2 linked regions of the Astyanax mexicanus genome follow. The protein of the gene in region 2 interacts with the protein of the main gene of each other region in a pairwise test. Links are inferred from orthologs where the notes say so. Each region holds a gene or a part of one and is shown on either strand. Other genes may lie near its edges. The genes, in order: nphp1 and bcar1.

Evidence for each region.
Region 1: the proteins of bcar1 (region 2) and nphp1 interact in a two-hybrid assay, tested with the Homo sapiens proteins (2 studies listed by BioGRID). The link is inferred for Astyanax mexicanus from reciprocal best matches to the Homo sapiens genes BCAR1 and NPHP1.

The regions. Positions count from the first base shown.
Region 1 is NC_064421.1:42,785,398-42,796,084, forward strand, and holds the start of nphp1 (nephrocystin-1), read left to right. Parts: upstream 1-5,623; 5' UTR 5,624-5,773; coding exon 5,774-5,839; intron 5,840-6,674; coding exon 6,675-6,739; intron 6,740-6,855; coding exon 6,856-6,916; intron 6,917-7,050; coding exon 7,051-7,169; intron 7,170-7,419; coding exon 7,420-7,645; intron 7,646-10,687. Other genes in the region: mitoregulin, read left to right, coding at 1,083-1,253. UniProt on the Homo sapiens protein: Together with BCAR1 it may play a role in the control of epithelial cell polarity. Involved in the organization of apical junctions in kidney cells together with NPHP4 and RPGRIP1L/NPHP8. Does not seem to be strictly required for ciliogenesis.
Region 2 is NC_064416.1:26,068,371-26,079,459, forward strand, and holds the start of bcar1 (breast cancer anti-estrogen resistance protein 1), read left to right. Parts: upstream 1-5,700; 5' UTR 5,701-6,272; coding exon 6,273-6,284; intron 6,285-11,089. UniProt on the Homo sapiens protein: Docking protein which plays a central coordinating role for tyrosine kinase-based signaling related to cell adhesion. Implicated in induction of cell migration and cell branching. Involved in the BCAR3-mediated inhibition of TGFB signaling.

The sequences.
Region 1 (10,687 bases), on a different chromosome or scaffold from region 2:
CCTCATAAAGCTGACTGAGAAAATGCAAAGATGGGCAAAGCTGTCATCTAAGCAAGAGGTGCCACTTTGAAAAGATTTTGTTTACAAAATAATGTTATATGTTTTTTTCCATAGTTTGAATGAATTGAAATTGAAATAATCCAGTTTTGGGTTTATTTATGAGACAGTTACTCCAAAAAAATCAGAATAAACGTTTTTGAAACCACTGATTTCTAAGCAAGTATATTAAGACATATGTACAATCATACACAACTTTTGTGAGTATCCCGAAATGTGATCAACAAATCCCCCGCATTGTCTAACATCACACTGTGCAACATGAAAAATGGTGGCTGCAAGGTTTGTTCACACCTGCTTCTTGGGGAAACTGCAGAGTAGTCATTTTGAAATGAGTAATAATAAAATAATATTCACAAACAACCATTAACAGTGGCTGCACTGTTAAAAATTAAAAAAATATTTTTACCATGCAGTACTGTTTCTGTTGTTCTTAGCCATGTAAAAAGGTTAAAGCCACCTCAACTTGGGAACTCAGGTATCAGAATATTCCCACTAGAAATGATCTTACATTATTACATTACACAACACTTAAACATCACATGAATGCAGTCTTAATGAGATATAATCGTGATCAATTTTAGCCCATAAGAACCCAGACCCAGTTGTGAATATTGATGCAAAAAATAATAAACAATGTGCAATTAAATATTTTTGTTCTTTTACTTATATGAAACAACTATTTTCATTCTTACTTATAACCTATATATAACCTAGTTAACTAAATAGTAGTATTATTTTTTTCGCGATTGTGATGTTGCGTTTGAACCTTAAGGCTTTCTGTAGTCCCCCTGATCACGTGGCCCTTTATAGGACGCATCCCAAACGGCTTCTTGCTCCCTATCTAGAACACTAAAACGCGAAATGAAATCTCTAAAAGGCATCTCGAGACTCTTTAGTGCACTACACGTCAGTGCAGAAGGCGTTTGAGACTCGCCCACAGCTAGACGCCCTCTCTCAGGCTGTTCGCTGCAGCGCGCTGGGGAGCAGCTGGAGATATTTGGAGTGCCGCTGCGGAGGTGAACATGGCCGACGTGTCGGAGAGGACGTTACAGGTCGCTATCCTGGTCTCGTTTGCCACGGGCTTCGTCGCGGGCTGGCAGGCCAACAGGATGCGCAGGAGGTTCCTGGACTGGCGGAAGAAACGGCTCCAGGACAAGCTGGCGGAGACGCAGAAGAAGCTGGACCTGTCGTGACCTGCGGGGTCAGGTCTGATAACTGCCGGCCTGGTGAGAGCTGGGCTGTGTCCCATTAAGACCCAGAGTTCTAAACTAAAAACAACAAAACTGTCCATAAATGTTAGTGAATAAGCTGTTATGGGTTTTAGATTTACACTCTGTACAGTTGTCACTGTTTACTGTAGGCCTGGGTTCACAGTGTTTGAGGTGTCTCACGATACGATATTATCACAATACATTGTTCACGATACTGTTTTCAATTCTCTACGGCACTTTGCGGCAGTAACTTAAGTAAGTCTTAGGGCCTTTAAAGCTCTTATGTTTCTAAAAAGCTCAACGTCTAACTCCACGTATTCATAATGTCTCACGAACGAAAAAAAAATACACTATATCAAGATATTAATATTTTTCTCCCACCCCTAAAATTTGACATTTTTAAAACTTTGTTTATCGAGTTTTTAAAGTACTTGGCATTTATATAAGTATATAAGTATACTCACAACTTGCACAGTATAAATGCATAACCATACATCAAGATTTAGTAATGAAGTAATAGGCAAATAGGCCAGTACAAAGGCCCAAATATTGAAAAGGCTAACATGGAAATCAAAAACGGAAAGAAGAAGGGAGGAAAAAAAAGGTTCAACTAAACCAAAAACTTGTTTCCTTAACAAGTGCCAAATTTCTTCTCCACCCATTAACTTCCTATCATCCCAACATGCATCCAGTCTCCTATATTAAAAACAAAACCCAGTGAAATTAGATTTTAACACTTGCAATATATGTATCGTATTAACAGCCAATTAACAGCCCTGTTGTTTATTATTTAAATAAATATTTGATGCCACATATTGATACAAGACAATACAATATGATCGAAACAATACAACATTATATTGTGCCCCTAATAATTATATATAACTGAATTGGGGCTGCAGAGTATATTGTATAGTGCAATGTTAATGTAACATGCCTTATACAAAATGCCTTATACAAAATGAAATTCATACCAAAGAATGATTTTAAATCATTGTTTTTTTGTTGGTGCATGTGCTAGCATATTAAAAATGTTCAGTGTTCAATACATATTTTTGTTTTGTGGTTTTACCACACTATCAAATTTTATTACTTTTTTAAGTAACAAAACCTGAGAAAAATGTTTTGTTTAATAAACTAGTTCAGTAATTACCCTCAAATAGTTAAAACAGTCACTCAAGAGGAATTCAGACTCTACATTTTTATATTTCTACTGTCCAATGAAAACCATGCATCTCCATTTCTATCCATTTTAGCTGCTCAGAATAAATCTTTCAGGAAGAATATATCAGTATAAATGCTCTAAAATGTAAGACTACTGGGAAAAATCTCTTATTTTCATTTAAATTTCTTTCATTTCATTTCATTTCCTTCCATGTAAAGTCCTCATTTTGGCTTAAAGCTACTGTCATAGGCTACATGGAATTGAGAATAACTGGTCACTGCCAGCTCACCCATACCCTTTAATGCAATAGAAGACCCAATTAAGGTCATTTTCACTTCACTAAAATATGATCTTAAATTTTGTCCTTTAGGCCGCATGAAATCAATGGTGTCCTTGCCCTGCTGAGACCCCCTTCGACCCCTCTGACCCCTTTGATGGACTCAACTCTGGATAAGAAGTCACCTTCAGCTGTTCTGCCAATCTTCTGTTCCCTCCTGAGACCTTTAAACACTATGCACACACTGCAGTGTTGCATTGCAGTGCAGTTCTCAAAAACATATTTTTTATGGGGATAAATGTTTTATTTTGTTGTTTTTTAATAACAAGTTGTTTACAAGGTATTATTCTAAGCCATAATATTGCTGTTAATAAGCTTGTACCATCATGTTGGAATAAAATAAACTATTTTGTTACTTTAAATGTATGCTATTGTATTAACTTGTCCACAAGAAACGCTGTATTCCTGAAGCACTGCAAAAATTATAAGATGTTTTTTGTTGTTAAACTGTAGTTTGATTTTTTTTTTTTGTCAATATTACAAAAAAAAAAATCTGTTTTTCTGTTTTTTATAGATTGTGTACTGTCTTCCAGAATCTGCTATTGATTAATTGAATCCATTCTCCCATCTACCAGAATCTAAACACCAGCCAGTGTGTTCATGGCAAATCAATGTGAAATGATCAGAGTTGCAATGAGGCCTGATGGTGGGTGCTAGATGGTTGGGACATCCCTTAATCCATAGTGTCACATGTGGATTATCAATGCAGTTTGTCATAGGACAGAGGTTGCTAACTTGGAGGTCATAACCCTCAAGAAGGTCCTGTCATAGTCCCTGGGACCACAAGAAAAAAAAAGAACATTGGGTACAAAACCTCATTATTTCAGTTTTTTTTAGTATATTAAAGAAGAAACTGGTTTTAATTAATTTTCCATTCCTGTTTTCATGTCTGTTCCCAAAATATACTTTTCTTGATTCAATTTTATTTTTGCATATCGTATCAAAAATCAGATGGTATAATCAAATGTATTTTTTCCTGAAATTAAGATTGTAATGGGCAGAAAAAAAGTTTTACACTGAGTCTTCATGTTCTAATTTAGCCTGATATGGTCACTAAATAACTGATTAATGTTACACTGACCCTGGTTGACCAGCATGACCAGAGCCAAATGCAACACATTCTTATTCAAGTCAAGAGCTGGCTAACCAACAAGCTTACCAGTATGGGGGTATGTTATGCATTACCAGTTTTTAAACCACCTTGGCCATTAAAGGCATCTACCAGCACAAGCTGCTCTTCAGGTGGGGTTTTTCAGCAGGAGAAAGTGCAGCTGTTTTATCTGCTGAATCGGTCAATTAAGGCTGCCATCTAGTGGCTGAGAGGAGCAACTGCTTCCTCATAGTATACATAGTATAGCATGGTATCTAATAATGACTTATTATCTTATAATTAGATATATAATTAGACTTAGTAACTCGATATTATGACTTAGCATTTTATAATTATGACTTAATATCTCGTAATAATGACAGTATCTCGTTATAATGGCTCTGCATCTCATCCGTGTGACTTAGTACCTCAATATTATGACTTAGCATTTCATAATTAGACTTAATATCTCGTAATAATGACAGTATCTCGTTATAATGGCTCTGCATTTCATAAATATGGTTTAGTACCTCAGTAATGACTTACCACTTTATAATTCTAACATAGTATCTCATAATAATGGCTTAGTATCTCATAATAATAAATTAGTACCTAATAATTTTGACTTAGTAAATCATAATTTCATCTTGGCATCTAATAACAACTAAACGTTTTACTTCTTACTGACATGGATAAATTATATGTGCTCTTCTACGAGTCTTTAATGTTTTTGTAAGATTTATCATTGTAGCTTACCATAATGTAAAAAAGTTGAGTTTACGACATATTAAAAAATCGCCTGTGCGCATTTCTTTTTATAGCTCATGAATATGTATGAGCTTTCGACCAATCAGGGATGGCCATGCCTGTTCCTTAGGCAACTATTTATTTACACACCTCTAACTTAAAAAGCACTCACACAACAAGCTATAAACCACACGATAAGCCTAATACTTTTAGGACTGGCAGGAGGTGCATTGCAATACCAACCTACCTCACTGTAACTTCTTTTAAACGCCTATTACAGTAAAATCAAGATTTTACTACTTTAATAGTTCCCAATGAGTAACATAGCTTAATCATAATAAAGAATAATGATGAATAAATATATTAAGAAATACATTTAAAATATTTAAAATATATTTTGTTGATGTTATGTAAAAAATCTAAAAAAAAAAAATTATTATAAATTAAAATGCTCTAACTTATTTTTATTTTTCAGTAACATTCAACATTGTCTTAGCAACCCCTACGCTATTGTTGACCAAGTGATTTTATTATTTTAATAATGAGTGAACTTAGTACTGTATGTGTGCATATATTTCAGTAAGTTAACTACTTTTTTATTTAGTTTTACCTTTCATTTGCACACTTTTTTGTTCCTTATCTGTAAATTGTTCCTCCTAGCTCGTATATATATATATATATATATATATATATATATATATATATATATATATATTCATTCGCACATCAATTTAAACTTTTTAGCACTTTTTTAGCGCAAATAAATATACACTTGAATCAATACAGGCCTCAAATATTTTTAATGAATCGGTTCAATGAATCAAACCACCATCGATTGAACATTTTAATTACTGAAATATTCCTCTGTTGCTATTAATTAATGAAGACTGAATGATAAGTTGTTAATTTATTTATTATGAATCACACCCTGTTACAATTATTTATAAACATTTCTCCAAAACCACAACGAAGATTCGATTAAAAAAAAGAATCGGTTCAAATGATCCGAAGAGTTGGCCATCACTCTTAGCAACCATCTGCGGCGTCCTCCACAGAGCGGTGTGGGATTCCTGTGTTAAAGTAAATCAGCGCTGATTTAACGAGGTTTTAACCGGTTATGGGACTAATTTTGACTGGAGGTTTTGTAGGAAGAGTGGAATAATATGGCTCCGAGAAAGAAAGGTCCTCTGCAAACGGTGCAAAAGGAAACAGACGACATTAAAAAACGGGTTTGTATCAGGTCCTTTCATAGAGAGATAGAGAGAGAGAGAGAGAGAGAGAGAGAGAGAGAGAGAGAGACCCCGCTGATGTGGTGCCGTGTTTTGTACAACGGAGAAATCCTACACCCCCTGGTTTTGATTGATTGCTTCTGAGGACCAATGCTGTAGTTCCCGTCATTGCCTGTTTATTTTAGGACGTGTTTTCTATAGATTTAATTGACCTTATTTTTACATATAAGTAAATATATATGTAGGAGCACAGTGGCGTGTCATCTGACTCATTTTATTGTGTGTATTGTACTTTACTCTGGTTTAGTTTTACCCAGGCGTTTTTAAAATCAGGCAGCCAATATAGCTCATAAATGGGTCCTTGAGATGCAGGGTATGCCAAAAAAGCACAAAATGGCACAACATCAGTTATGTTAAGCAGATTTTCCGAACGTTTTTTTTTACGTTTCAGTTGTTTATTGGGTTCAGTATATGTACATAAAGGAAAGAGTTTATCCGTTCATTACCCAGATAGACAGCAGAAAGACGTTGAAACAATGTTGAAGTTTGTGCACATCGATTTTTACATTGATTTAGCACTGATTCAACGTCAGGGTTTAAAATGTATTGGTAGTATTTCAATTTTGTTAAATGAAATATGTAAATATATGTTTGTATTTTATTGTTATAGCTTGTACTATGTTTTTGCGGTGTAGACAACTACTATTTACTACGATTTTAACAACAATAATAACAACAACAACAACAATAATAGTATTATTGTATCAATATTTATCATTCAGTGAAATCAGTTTTTAATGCTGTGGGCTGTTTATTGGTTTTACCTGTGCTGTAGGTCGACGCTTTGGTGCGGGATGTGAACAGACTGGGTGTGTCTGAGGGAACAGAGTCACTACAGAGGTACAGAGAGTTGGATTTGAGTTGGATTCTCTCTTTATTATTCTTTATCAAACATATTAGTTGAACTTTTTAAGACTTGCTACTGATTTTTACTTTGGGTTGATTCCTCTTTACAGGTGTTCAGAGCTGCAGAACACAGTGACTGCGACTTTGGAGAGGCTCAAGAAGTTAACGAAAGTAATATTTCTCTATATATTTGATGCACTTTAAAACAAAAAGGCGTATGACTGGAGTAAATGACTAAAATAAGTATGAGTGATGGTGTCTCTTTGTTTTTTTGTCACTCTCTTTTTCTGTCGCTCTGGGTTCAGGCGGAGGAGTCAGCTCCAATAGGGAACTATGAGCAGCTTAAAAGAGATGAAGAGGAACGTCTCAGGGCTCAACAGGACCGACTGAAAGCTCTGGCACAGAAGCTGCAGCCTGAGGACAAGTACAGTATAGAATTCTTTATTAAATTCCAACACAAACAGTGGAGACCTCCTAGAAGAATCAGGGTAAAAAAAAAAACAAGGTCAATAACGAGAGAGTAAACATAGGCAAGGAATAAACACATTGTAAAGTGGTAGACCAACAAAACTTAGCTACTTCTTAGAAAACGAAATAGTCTCTCTCTGTATATTACAATACTAATGATGGAATAAGGATCCAGTTTGTTCACAGCCTCTGTAATTCACTCCCAGCTCAACGGAGGGTGAGGAGGACAGTGCTGAAGAAGACAGCGAGGAGGAGGATGAAAGCCAGGAAGAAGATGAGGAAGATGATGTTCACAATGATAAAACCAAAGAAGATGCTGCTGACGATGAAGTTGATGAAACTGCACAAAACTACACAGCTAGAAAGGGCATTAGAACCTATGTGGCTCTTAGTGACTTCACAGGAGAGGAGGAGGGGGACCTTACTGTACAGGTAATTAAAAATACACACATTTGCTCATATTTTTCAACATTCCTCATACCAAATTTTCATAAACATGAAAGTATGCTTTTAATACTATGATGTTTTTTTTTATTTAAACCTTTGAAAAATGTGGACTTGCTTACACTGTCACCAATGTACTGAATACATTACATTGAATCATAACCCCTAGATTGTGATATGTAGTCTATCGTTGAGATCTTGCCAATAAACAGACCTAATGTCGTATGGTTTAAAAATTCGTCTCAGATCACCTCCTGAAGGGGTTTGAGCGACTGGACTTGGTGTTGTATCTGTTTGAACTGTTATGGGTGTGTTTTTACTTGAGTTTTTCAATGTGGCTTGGTCTTTCCAGATATAATCCTGATACATAAGAGTTCCAAAATGACAAAGTATAAATGGGGTCACTTAGGTCCAGTGTTGGGCACGTTACTTTGAAAAAGTAATTAGTTATAGTTACTAGTTACTTCTCCAAAAAAGTAACTGAGTTACTAACGGAGTTACTCCACTATAAAAGTAACTAGTTACCAGTAAAAGTAACTATTGCGTTACTTCGCCCTGTAAAAATAAATAAATAAAGAATAAATAAAGAAAATAAATGATGTAATTACTATTATTATTAGAAAAATAACAAACAAAAATAAACCCAAAATGTTGACAAAAATATAGTCTAACGAATAAAAAAAAATAAGAAACGAAAAACTCCACAGGACCAAAGAAAATTACTAAGACATGTAATACTGAAAAAAAACGGAAAAAACAAGTACACGTCTGGGGATAAAAATTAAACAAACCAAACCACACTCAAAGAAATAAATGTATATATAAACAAAACAAAAGAATGGACAAAAACAACAATCCGTTAAAAAAACTCATTTAAATCCATTAAAAAACTCATTTAAAACAATCACAGGCTTTTTGCGCAGAATAATAAAAGTTTCGGTTAGTTTCAGTTTCAAATCATGAAAACAGCTCACCAAAACCTCAACCTATCCTTTATATTTGACAATATTTGATTAACTTACAGGTCCTTACTTATTTTTATTTAACTGAACTGAGTTGTAAATTATTTATAGCCTCGCGCTGAATTCAGCTCTGTGCTGCGAAAGAGAGAGAGAGAGAGAGAGGCGCAGCGCATTTTGCCTGATTTCTCTTTATTAATTAACAGTACATTTGTTGGCTTTAGTAAGTTTAATAACATTAATTTTAGTATACTTGTCAGATCTTATTTATAAAAACTTTTTTTAGAAGACAGAGGTTATTCTGCGCGCAATGCCGCGCCGCTGCGCCAAGCACCACTTTGCGTGCCTGACATTTCAGAGCGCTGGACGAGATTTTAATTCATGAATTAATATATTTAATATTTTAATAAATTTGCCCTGGTGATAAGAAACGAATGCTAACATATAGCGTTATATTTCTGTGTATTTCAAATGTTTTAAGTTTTATATAATTGACGGGCAGCACCAGCGCCAGATTGACAATGTGCTTTGTTTTTCAGATATAAAAGTGAAATTCAGTTAAATAATAGCAAAGTTAACTAAAATAAATTTATGTTCAGTCAAAGTTATTTTCTCTTTTAATTTTCCATTTCAAAACTCCAGCATTTGAGTGAGAATAAGCATCTGTTGAAATTTTTAAACAGCAGAATGCCTAGTTACAGTTATTTAGTCTGTGTACTAAACATAAATATAAATCCTTATAACTGACAGAAATAAATATAACTAATAATAATTTATAGTTACAGTGCAGATTTTTAAGTATATATATTTTTTCATAGTTGATTGCTGAAGGCTCTGGGTGTGGTTTATTTTTATGTGGTAAAGATGTGATGGTATGGAGTATTTTGGAGCGCAGGGTGAGCAATCGCGCTAAGCTTTTTTCCGCCGCCAAGATAAAAACACGCCAGAAATTTACCTCAACACACATCATTTCCAGACCACCACGCCCATCGGTGTTAATATATTCCAAAGTCCAACGCTATTTTAAGGACGCGTGCAAGGCCTAAAAATAGACTGTTGACGGTGGCAAAGCGCCACGCTACACGCCTTGTGCGGGGTGTATGATAGGGCTCTTTGTCTGTATGCGCAAAGTTAAAAAAAAGTTCATTCAGCTGCTAAAGTAACGTGCAGTAACGGAGTGTCGAAAATGGTAACGGCGTTATAGTTACAGTCAGAGTAATTAGTTAGATTACTCGTTACTGAAAAAAGTAACGGCGTTAGTAACGCCGTTTATTTTAACGCCGTTACTCCCAACACTGCTTAGGTCAGGTACTGATGTTGGTTGATTAGCTCTGAATGTATTGAATCAGGCTTCTTTTCCCGTGAGAACACCGTTCCAATGCTATAAAGGGTTACCCAAGCTGCATTTACAAGAAAAAGTAGGAGAACTCTTTGTGATTACTTGGATTTATGCATAAATTGGTCATTAAATATATTACGATCTTTATCTATAGCACAACAATAGACAAACACAGTCTGCTTAAACTAATACCATAAAACTGTATGTTTGCATGTTTTTACTAAACACTACATGTTAAGATTCACAGTGCAGGGTGTAAAAAGTATGTGAAACTTTTTTTGGATTTAATAACTGGTTGACCCCTACTTTGGCAGCAATGCACAACAGTCAGGAGGAATTTTGGACCATTTCTCCTTACAAAACTGGTGTATCTGGTGTGAATCATGTGCTCTCTTGAGGTCATGATGCCACAGCATCTCAATTGAGTCGAGGAGGTCAGGACTCTCCAGAAAGCGCTTTGTTTATTGTCTTCTGTTGAAGCCACTCGGTTGTTGATTTACTTCTATGTTTTGGGTCGTTGTCCTGTTGCATAATCCATCCTCTGTTGAGCTTCATTTGGCGGACAGACGGTCTTAAGTTTTCCTGCAGAATGTCTTGATTATCTTGAGAAATACATTTTTTCGTTCATGACGGCAATCCGCCCAGGCCCTGAGGCAGCAAAGCAAAGCAGCCCCAAACCATGATGCCCCCTCCACCATGTTTCGTTATCTTAGATGAAGATCAGAACACATT
Region 2 (11,089 bases):
TTAATCCCATGGTTGAATTTTCACATTGCAGTAGCCCCATGTACTTTATAATGTTCTTTTCTATAAAGTATAGATGCACAATGATATCGGAATTATATTTCAACGTCATACTTGCTGACATTTGTTGTATGACATACATGTACCAAGCATTGAAACATGAACGATTTAAAAAAAAAAACAGCAAAAATATGATTTCAAGTTTATCTACACTAGTGTATGTTGCCTCTACACAACAACTTCATTTAATTTTCTGAGATTCTGCTGTGTAAGATTTTAAAAATAAGCTGAAAATATTAAAATTTTCAGAAGCTCTGCATTATTTTAATGAAGTGAGGAAGAGGTTTCTGAGGCAGGAGCTGTTTGAACCCTTGTTCCAGACCCCTAGCACATTTATAAGCTAAAACTATTAAAACTAATTTCACGTTTCCCAAAGGTACAGCGTTCTTCCTAACATACAATGTACTGATTACAGCAAGGAGGTGAGGGATAATACAACTATTTGAAGGTCACAATTGAACCCCTGTCCTTCTGCCCCTGATTAAGTGTATAATTAAAAGCCATTTTCAGTGTTCAAGGCTGCTGCCGTCAGAAATCATCTTTGGGAAAAGATGCCTCTGGTGAGTGAAAGAGTCCATACACTACATCTGGTGAAATAACCATTATTCTGTTCTTCTTTCTTTTCTGGGGTCTTTTGGTTACAGTAATGTTCTAAAATCCAGTGCCTTAACCGTTAAACCATGTACTTCAGTTTTTTTTTTGCCCTCATAACTGCAGTTCTGCAATTCTCAGTGAAATAACAGCAATTTTATATATACCATCATGGAACCCTGTGGGACTCTTAACTGTTAGCAAATGTCTTATAGGCATTTATTCATTATGATTAAAGATCTAGGGTTCAGAAGGTTAATATTACTAAATAATAAAGATAATGCTGCCGTGGTAGGCCCTAAACAATTTTCTTAAGTCCTTGTTTTCTTACTGCACTAGATTTTTAGGGAAAGGGCAACTCGAACTTTTTATAAAGTAAAAAAAAAAAACTTTCGTTTAGTTGCCAGGAGCCAATGAGAAGGGTCTAATTTTTATTTAAAATGGCTGTAGTTCACACACAAGCAGCAATATCAATGTACAACCAAATGCTTAGACCCCCTTCAGCGTCAGACTGAGCATGTGCAGAGTATACTGGTCTGGTTTCAGCTAGGCTTCAACTACAATTTGTAAATTTTGCCAACACAGGTTATTTAGTCAGTTAGTGTGAATTAAGTTAGATGAGGCAATTGGTTTGTTGTACTTAATTTTTACTTTAAAATCACATTAAGAAGAAGAATGTAAAGTTTTTTTTATACACGTTGCACTGAATTAAAACTAAATCAGTCTTGTCCAATCGGAGGAGCACCACATCATCCAGCTAACAGAGAAATCTTTTTCTGTGAATTACTGGTACAGATGGTAAAAATGTCTAGTTAAATAAAGAACGACATTTTGGCTCTGAAAAACACTGGTTCTCCTGTCGATCATGCTGAACATTGCTCCCCTCTGCATGATCTTGTGATGGGAAGCATTATACAGCCGATCCTGACAAGCTGACATCATAACACTGTGAGAGCTTCATTAAAGTGAGTGCTCAAATTTTGACATCTACTACTACAAGCTGTCAGAATGACCTCGTCCAATTTACAGGAATTGTGTTTTCAGCCTGAAGACAAAAACAGATGACTGACGTCTGGAGCACCTAATCTGGGTTCTTCATGAGCTGAAATGTTGCAGTTAGTCAGATAACTTCATGCAAAGTCAGGCTTTATTAAATGGTCACAGAAAATGTTATTCATATTGAAGATCAGATCTCTCATACTCCAGTTCTGTTATGTATATATTTTAATCAAATAATAAACGTGTCCCATAGCTTACATAATAGTGTTTTGTCTTTGGTAATATTTGGTAGCATGATTTTGTATGGTTTTTTTTTTTTTTTTTGACAGAACACATTTCAAACCCCTTGCAAGGTTTATTAGTACAAAAGCATCCAATACTTGGAGCAGCTAGTGGTTTGTTGGCTGTGAGGTTTGACTGCATGTTAACATTTTCTTAGAAAGGGAAAAGAGATCAGATCAAAAGGTTTAGAGAAAAGACCACTGACTTGCACAAACCTGAAAAAGGATACAAAAAGATAGCAATGGCACTGAACGTTCTGACAGACACAGCTGATGCATATTTCACTAGTTCACTGGCTGCACCTTATGGTGGCAGAAAGAGGCAGAAAGAGGACATTATTACTGGCTGACACTAGACTCCTGAGGAGGCAGGTGGTCAAGAATCATTAAGTGACTGCAAAAGACTGTGGCAGCAAACACTGAGCTTTTAGTTTGCACATTGATCTCCATGACCCTATATACCTCTTCTGACCTAAGTCATTAGAAACTGGAAAATTTGATTCAGTATAGATAACTGTTATCAGTGTTGCCTCAGGCAATGGTTTCGCTGTGAGGTGTTTTTGGATGATGCTGTTCATGGATGATGGTTGGATGCAACTTGGACCTTTCAGGAAGTCTGACTCCAGTAGTTTGTAATTTATCACACCCTGTCCCTGATCAGCAGTCGTGTACAGTGGGGAGAACAAGTATTTGATACACTGCTGATTTTTCAGGTTTTCCCAATTGCAAAGCATGTGGAGGACTGAAATTATTATCATAGGTACTCTTCAACTGTGAGTGATGGAATCTAAAACAAAAATCCAGAAAAATACATTGTATGATTTTTAAATAATTAATTTCCATTTTATTGTGGGAAATAAGTATTTGATCATCTATCAATCAGAAAGAATTTTGGCTCTCACAGACATGTTACTTCTTCTTTAAGAAGCCCTCCTGTTCTCCACTCATTACCTGTATTAACTGCACCTGTTTGAACTCGTTACCTGTATAAAAGACACCTGTCCACACACTCAATCAGTCAGACTCCAGCATCTCCACAATGCCCAAGACCAGAGAGCTGTGTAAGGACATCAGGGATAAAATTGTAGACCTGCACAAGGCTGGGATGGGCTACAGGACAATAGGCAAGCAGCTTGGTGAGAAGGCAACAACTGTTGGTGCAATTATTAGAAAATGGAAGAAATGCAAAAATAACGGATAATCTCCCTCGGTCTGGGGCGCCATGCAAGATCTCACCTCGTGGAGCATCGATCTTGAGGAAGGTGAGGAATGAGCCCAGAATTACACGGCAGGACCTGGTCAATGACCTGAATAGAGCTGGGACCACAGTCTCAAAAAAACGATCAGTAACACTCTACGCCGTCAAGGATTAAAATCCTGCAGTGCACGCAAGGTGCCCTTCCTCAAGCCAAAGCCCGTCTGAAGTTTGCAAATGACCATCTGAATGATCCAGAGGAGGAATGGGAGAAGGTCATGTGGTCTGATGAGACAAAAATAGAACTTTTTGGTTTAAACTCCACTCGTCATGTTTGGAGGAAGAAGAATGATGAGTACAACCCCAAGAACACCATCCCAACCGTGAAGCATGGCGGTGGAAACATCATTCTTTGGGGATGCTTTTCTGCAAAGGGGACAGGACAACTGTGTGAAGGATGGATGGGGCCATGTATCGTGAGATTTTGGCCAACAACCTCCTTCCCTCAGTAAGAGCACTGAAGATGGGTCGTGGCTGGGTCTTCCAGCATGATAACGACCCAAAACACACAGCCAGGGCAACTAAAGAGTGGCTCCGTAGGAAACATTTTAAGGTCCTGGAGCGCCTAGCCAGTCTCCAGACCTGAATCCAATAGAAAATCTTTGGAGGGAGCTTAAAGTCTGTGTGGCCCAGCGACAGCCACGAAACCTGAAGGCTCTGGAGGAGATCTGTATGGAGGAGTGGGCCAAAATCCCTGCTGCAGTGTGTGCAAACCTTGTCAAGAACTACAGGAAACGTCTCATCTCTGTAATTGCAAACAAAGGTTTCTGTACCAAATATTAAGTTTCTTTTTCTGGTGTATCAAATACTTATTTCCCACAATAAAATGGAAATTAATTATTTAAAAATCATACAATGTATTTTCTGGATTTTTGTTTTAGATTCCATCACTCACAGTTGAAGAGTACCTATGATAAACATTACAGTCTTCCACATGCTTTGCAAGTGGGAAAACCTGAAAAATCAGCAGCGTATCAAATACTTGTTCTCCCGACTGTATAAACCACAATGACTTAAAAATTCATGATTACAAGACAACAGGTTGTGTAATGCGAGCAGTAGCCTTAAGCAGTCTGGTCACTTGAAAGTCAGTGTGTGTACATGGCATAAGCAGTGCTCTTATATTCTCTACACTGAGAACATGTTGTGAGTGAAAGGAACTGTGGTACTAAGGTGAATTCTAAATTTGTAACATTCTGAAACCCCATCATCAAACACGAATGAGCATGCTCTTCAATAGACATGCAATGACTAGTAAAGTTTATTGCAACTTCCTGCACAGTGATGAAGCATTGTTCAGTCCTTCCTGCACAGTTTGTTTCCTTTCAACTCAATGTTTTTTCATCACCTGACATTCGAAACTACTCTTAAAATGTTTGAAGACCAGTGTAGTTCACTTTACATGAAACAACTAGGGTGTCTAAATGCGTATTACACCCTAATACAACAAGGTGTAGACTATATACTATATACTAATACTATAAACTAATTCTAATATATGGTATGTATTTATTGGAGTTTGATATTTTAGGTGGCCTACAAGAATGATCAGGCTAAACAAGGTAGATACCATGACCAAGCCGATCTTCCACAGCAGGACCATTTAAACCAAGCTGGCCAACCAGCATAACCAGTATTATCAGCATGACCAGCATTACCAAATTGGTTGACCACCATAACCTGCATGACCAAGCTGGTGGTCCACAGCCAGCATGATCACCAAGACTTAGCTGGTTCATTAGCCTTGACCAGAATCATCAAGCTGGATGACTAGCATGACCAAGCCAAGTTGATAGGCATGACCAAAATAAAATGCAACATACACCATGCTTGTTAACCTGTTGCTTAACAATATATGATATATGGTCCAACAGGACCCATACAAACACTCAAAGGCTGACCAATTCCATGTATGCATTGTGCATATTTGTGTATACTCAACTTGATCTTGACTTGGACTTGACATATCCTGATCCTGGTCTTGGTCTTGATTTGAACTGGACTTGGCAGTTTTGACTACAATGATGTTATTCAATTAGTACACATTTGGGACAGACCCCTCATACTGTCAGTTCAGGTCACAAAGTGTTAGAATATTAACTTATTAAAATATTAGGACCATGCCCTCACTGTACTCTGTCAAACATGTGTTTAACTGTTTTCTAGCCACACTTTAGGACTGTGCTGTGTTGTGTTCATTAAAAATTTACTGGAAATGTTTAATATTTTATCCTGTGAGTTTAGCATCAGGTGGATTTCACTGTTTATTTATCGATATTTCCTATTGAGTTGTTAATCAGTACGGTTTCCTGCCTGGATGAAGGTGTGGATGAAACCACACCACTGCTTATAGCAAGAGACTGTCCCTTTAAACTGAAGTTGAGAGAGAGACACAGAGAGAGGGGATATAGAAAGAGAGAGATACTGAGAGAGAAAGAGTGAGAAACTAAGAGAGAGAGACAGAGATACTGAAAGAGGCTGATAGAGAGAAAGAGAGATATACTGAGAGCAAGAGATACTGAGAAAGACACTGAGAAAGAGAGAGATATTGAGAGACAGATACTGAAAGAGAGAGAGAGAGAGAGAGGGACTGGCTCTGGCTCTGCAGCGAGTTGACAGGCTCCAGCTCCGCACAGCCGCAGTACTCACGCGGTCAGTGAGTGTGCGCGTGAACTAGCGGTGAAGCTAGCGGTCAGTAACGGCAGCGCGCGGGTCTCTCGCTCGTGTTTTCGTGCGGGTGGTGAGGCTGTGGAAGGGAGGAAGGGACTGGAGCTCTGAACGCTTCCCGTTTGAGGTGGACTGCGCTCTGCTGGGTGGGAGAATATTCCTGACACTAACCTCTCAGCAGCTTCAGAGAGAGAGAGAGAGAGAGCGCCGCGGAGCCCCGGTTTATACAGCGGACAGCATGGAGTAGAGCTGCACTGACCCACCGACCGACCGACCGCGACACCAGCTCACACATTCCGCGGGGTTATCTCTCTCTCTGTATCTTCTCTGTGTGTGAGAGCGCTCTTAAACACAGCCAGAGCGGAGCAGCCTGGTCGGGTACAGTCTCCAGAGAGCTGCAGTGGACTGGGAAGGACCACAAGATGTCTGTACCGGTAAGAAATGATGATAAAATTAACTTATTGTTATTATTTATCTGTTAGAACAGTGAAGCTGCTCTGCTTGACTGTAGCTGAATTCTGAGAGCTGTTCCTCTGACTTTCTCCAGCACCTTACTAACAAACAGCTTCAGCTTCACAGTCCCCACAGACTCTACCTGCTGTATTTACATAGATATCAGCCTACTGGACTACTGCTCTTATTATAATACATACTGTGTTATTATATTACTGTACTGAATTCTATACAGTACACTTAAACAAGTAATTCTAGAATTGATTGTACATTTCACATTTCCCACATATCTCATTTGTATGGTATTTTTACTTTTTTGACCAGTTCTTAAAAATATAAGCCAGTACCTAGCTGGCATTTTAACGATGAAATGCCAGTTTATGGTTGAACGTTTTATTTGGTGTTGATTTTAAAAAGTGAGTCAACATTGATATTGCAACGTTGTTTCAGCGTTGTACGTTTAAACTTTACTAAACCCTAGCTCACTAAAACTAAAAAAAATCACATGATTAACAAAGTGTTAACCATAAACCATCACTACCAATCTGATTCAACATCTGATCTCAAAAACACAATACAAATAGAATGATGAAGGTATGATGAAGAATTGGTGCCCAAATAAAAATGCAATCACAGCAAATTGAAATTAAACCACTTTTTCATCCCTCCATTCAACCGTTTTTTTAAATTGTACACAGAAAAGGCAGAAAGTTGAAAAAATTATGTTGATTTACTGTTAAAATGTTAAAGTTTTCACAATTATTTAACACTAAATGTTGTTTCAACGTTGTTCCAACGTTGAAACAACAACAGACATTACTTCAAACATATTTCAACCACATTTCAACACATTGAAGGTCCCTTGTGTGCCAGCTGGGTAATAACGTTCAGGTTACACTATAAATAATGCTTGAGTTTTCTTTTTACCACAATTTATACACAACCCACTGTCTTCCTATTGATATGTTTGTACTAGGTCTGCGCAATATATAATTTCTGTACAGATAACGCAATGTACACATGCAATAGTCACACCACAGGACGTGCAATGATTTCTGCACTGTCAAATTTAAAAAGAAAAAAAAAAAACATGACCAAAATGTAATGCAACATACACCCTGCATGTCAATCTGTTGCTTACCCAGTGCCCATATACACACACTCAAAGGCTGACCAGTTCCATGTATGCGTTGTGAATATGTGTACCGGTATACCCAGCTTGGTCTTGACTTGGACTTGACATGTCCTGGTCTTGGTTTTGACTCGGACTCGACTCTGGTGGTTCTGACTACAATGCTGTTATTCAATTAGTACACATTTGGGACAGACCCCTCATACTGTTAGTTCAGGTCACAGAGTGTTAGAATAGTAATTGATTAAAATATTATGACCACGCCCACACTGTTCACTATCAGACAAGTGTGTGTTTAACTTTTTTCAGTAATAATAGCTACTATTTACATTCAGTTTGCATTATTATTAATTATTATAACGGATTGTTAAAAAGAATAAATACCAGTACATCAACATTGATCTAATATATTCAGGTGAATATATTACCTGCATTTTAGCAAAATACATTTTTTAAATGTTTTTGCTGATACAAAGAAAAAATCATACTATTCTAGTTGTACATGACAATATCTAACAGATTGATGATTATATATACCCAATATCATTTGTTTTACTCTAACTAATGATACACATATTTCATTAATAACATTTACATGCTGGTTGATTTGCTTTAGGTGAAAATTCCTGTGTTTCTTAAAATTAAAATATACATCACAGAACAACTAAATATGACAGTTTTTAGTAAACAATACAATCCTGTGTTTAGACGTGCTTTGTGAAATCAGTTTGGTGTTATGGCACGAAATTGTGGAAAATGTCAATTATTCATATTGACGACTCAATAAGATAACGATATTAATGATTTAATTTTTGAATGGGCCAAATAGGCTGTTCCATGAACATGGCGTGTCTGTGATTCCCATATCAGGCAGCTCAGACCTGTAGGGAGTTGTGTTATCTCTCATCTGCTGTGGAAACTGGCCTGGGTGTTGTTATGCTGCAAACTGGCTGATACCAGCTGGAGAGTACGGTACGAGATTGGATTTCCAGAGCTATTACTCTGCGTATACAGTACCAACCCCCATAAATAAATCACTGTACTGACAACAGTAGAGGGAAAAGCCAAATCCTCATTCAGTGTTCTGTCCAGCCCGGAGACAAACAAATACATAATTGGCAGAAAGAGGCTCATTGGTTGTATATGCCAAATATGAGCTCGTTTGTTTGTCACAAAGAGGTGCTTTTTAAATTATGACTACATTCACTGAGCCACTGGGTTTTACAACAAACATTTGAAATAGTTAACATTAACAATGAGCTCTCAGGTGCTGACATTCATTATTCGTTTTAATACATGTGTGGAATAACTTATGGTTACACTGTGTAAACTCTATATGTAGAAACTAATCATAGAATAGTGTGGTTATAATACTTTTTACAGTGCATTCTGTTTTTTTTTTTTACATTTTGGTGATACTGTGTGTGATATAGTGTTGACTGTCTAGATTTTGCTTGTTATAAAAACTCTTTAGAATACATACTGGTTCTGCACTGAGTACATCATGATTATACTTTGTAGACTATAGTCACACAGTCTTACATATTCTTAAATATGGACTATTTAAGATTGGAATACTTGAATCTTGAATATGTAGATAACCCCATTCCGGCAGCTGGTCCCAGTCTGCACCAGTTGGCCACTGTGCAGCATTAAGGCTGCGTTTTACTCAAGCCGTGTGAGATTTAGTGAGTGGCCCTCAGGGACACAAAACTTTAGAAGCTTGCCAATTACAGAAATAGCACTCTGCCTGCAGAGAGACAGAGCAAGGCAACATGCCTTATTTTGTTTCCTGCCCGTTTTCCGGAGAATCCCACCTCCTGCTTACAGGCAGTAAAATGTTAGTGAGGATGACCTGCTAGCCAGTCAGAGCACAGGTGGGTGGGTCCTCTCTAAATACAGGTGGGGGGAAACAGACTGCGGTGTCCCTTGGGGCAGAGAGGGGCTAATTCGGGTCCTGTCTGTTTAAGTAGCAACCAATATAAATGCTGCAGAGGTTTGTGGAGTGCTGTGTAGAAGTAATGTGGAAGTATAACCTGGTTCTCTGGTGTTCACCACTTCAGGCTATGTGCTTGGGAAGATATATCAGCCTATATCTTTTACATTCCATTTGTTCATTGTGGAATCTTCTGTGTGGTGAAAACACAGCTCTGTGCATGTGCTAGCTTGATTGAGTTGCAATAACATGCTTTTTGCGTCAAGATTGCATCTTACTACCATTTGGCCAGATGCCTTTCATATCTTGTAAATGTGTGAGCAAGTGGAAAACTGCAGCAAAAACATCAACGAAACATCTGTATTCTCCATCTCCTGTTGGAACATCTCAATGTAGTCTGATTGATTGGAACATACTCTGATCACATTGGGTTCTGGTTGGGTGTACACCTGGAGTTTAGTGAAAATGTATATTGCTGCAATGTGTAAACCACCTATAATTGTATTTCAATCATAACACTCAAACACTGAATATCCTTTTGTGCAAAGAAAATGGAAATTGCTATGGAATTTGTAGTGTAAAAAACAGTAAATATGAATAGCAAAAATTATATTGGCATGTCCACAAGTTCAGTCCCTTTCCTTAGCCAAACTGGGATTATAAATAGTAGACTTTGCTCTTTAAGCCAGACTGACAGTTTAAAGTGTTAAAGGAAAAATTTAAGACCGTTAAATAACACCAATCAAAAACACAAATAAAGCAACTATAAATGAAATATACCTGCAACAATAACTTGTCAGATTGCTAATTGATGTTTTGATGGTTTGGTTACTGAATTGGCTGATTCAGAGTTACCACTAACTAAGCAGAGGAAGTAAGTGGGTACTTGATGGCTGCTAGGCTAGAAGCTAACCAAGCCAACTGCTTACAGTCTCTTCTGCTATTTACCAGCAAATTGCGCTGAATAAACACTGAGAGAACCCAAAGAACACAGAAGGAAATTTGGAAAGTGCTAAAGCTATGTTGTGCTCTGTATTTTTATTTTTACAGGAAAACATTTGTTTTATTTAAGTCCATGTAACGGGCAAATATGCTTGTAAAACTGCATCTGAGCTATTTTTGCCCCAACCAAAGTCACACAGTTACTATTACACATCAAAGAACAACTTAAAATATTAAATTAGTGAATTCCACTGCAACTTTATACAAAACCCTTGCTATCAGAATGTGAGGATCCACCCCTGTACACCTGAAGTGATGGATTTAAGCAGCAGCTTAGACATATTTAGATTTTGTTGAGGTATGGATGGGCGTGATATGAAAACAAAGCAGGTTTTGAAATGTAGCAGAGAGAAAGTACGTAGTGGACAGAGTTTTGTTTACGTCCGCTACCCAAAATGAATCTCAAGCTGCATCTTCTCACCACTTTTGCTCGTACCACCGGCTCTATTCTTTGTCATTTCACAAACTGCCACTCTGTCGAAGATTCACTTTCCATCACACGGCGTAGCAGAGCATGCAGGGACTACATAATAGGGAGAGTGTGTACTGTCCACAATGGTGTAAGTGTGTGTCCTCTGTTTAAGTCTCTTCACAGTTATGAGAAAGGCATGGTAGCCATAAAATGTTTTCAGACTCGCAGTTTATTTATTCAGTGGCTACAACAATGAACCAGTGTACCTTGGTGGCTGTAAATGAAGCATTGTGTAATTTAACCA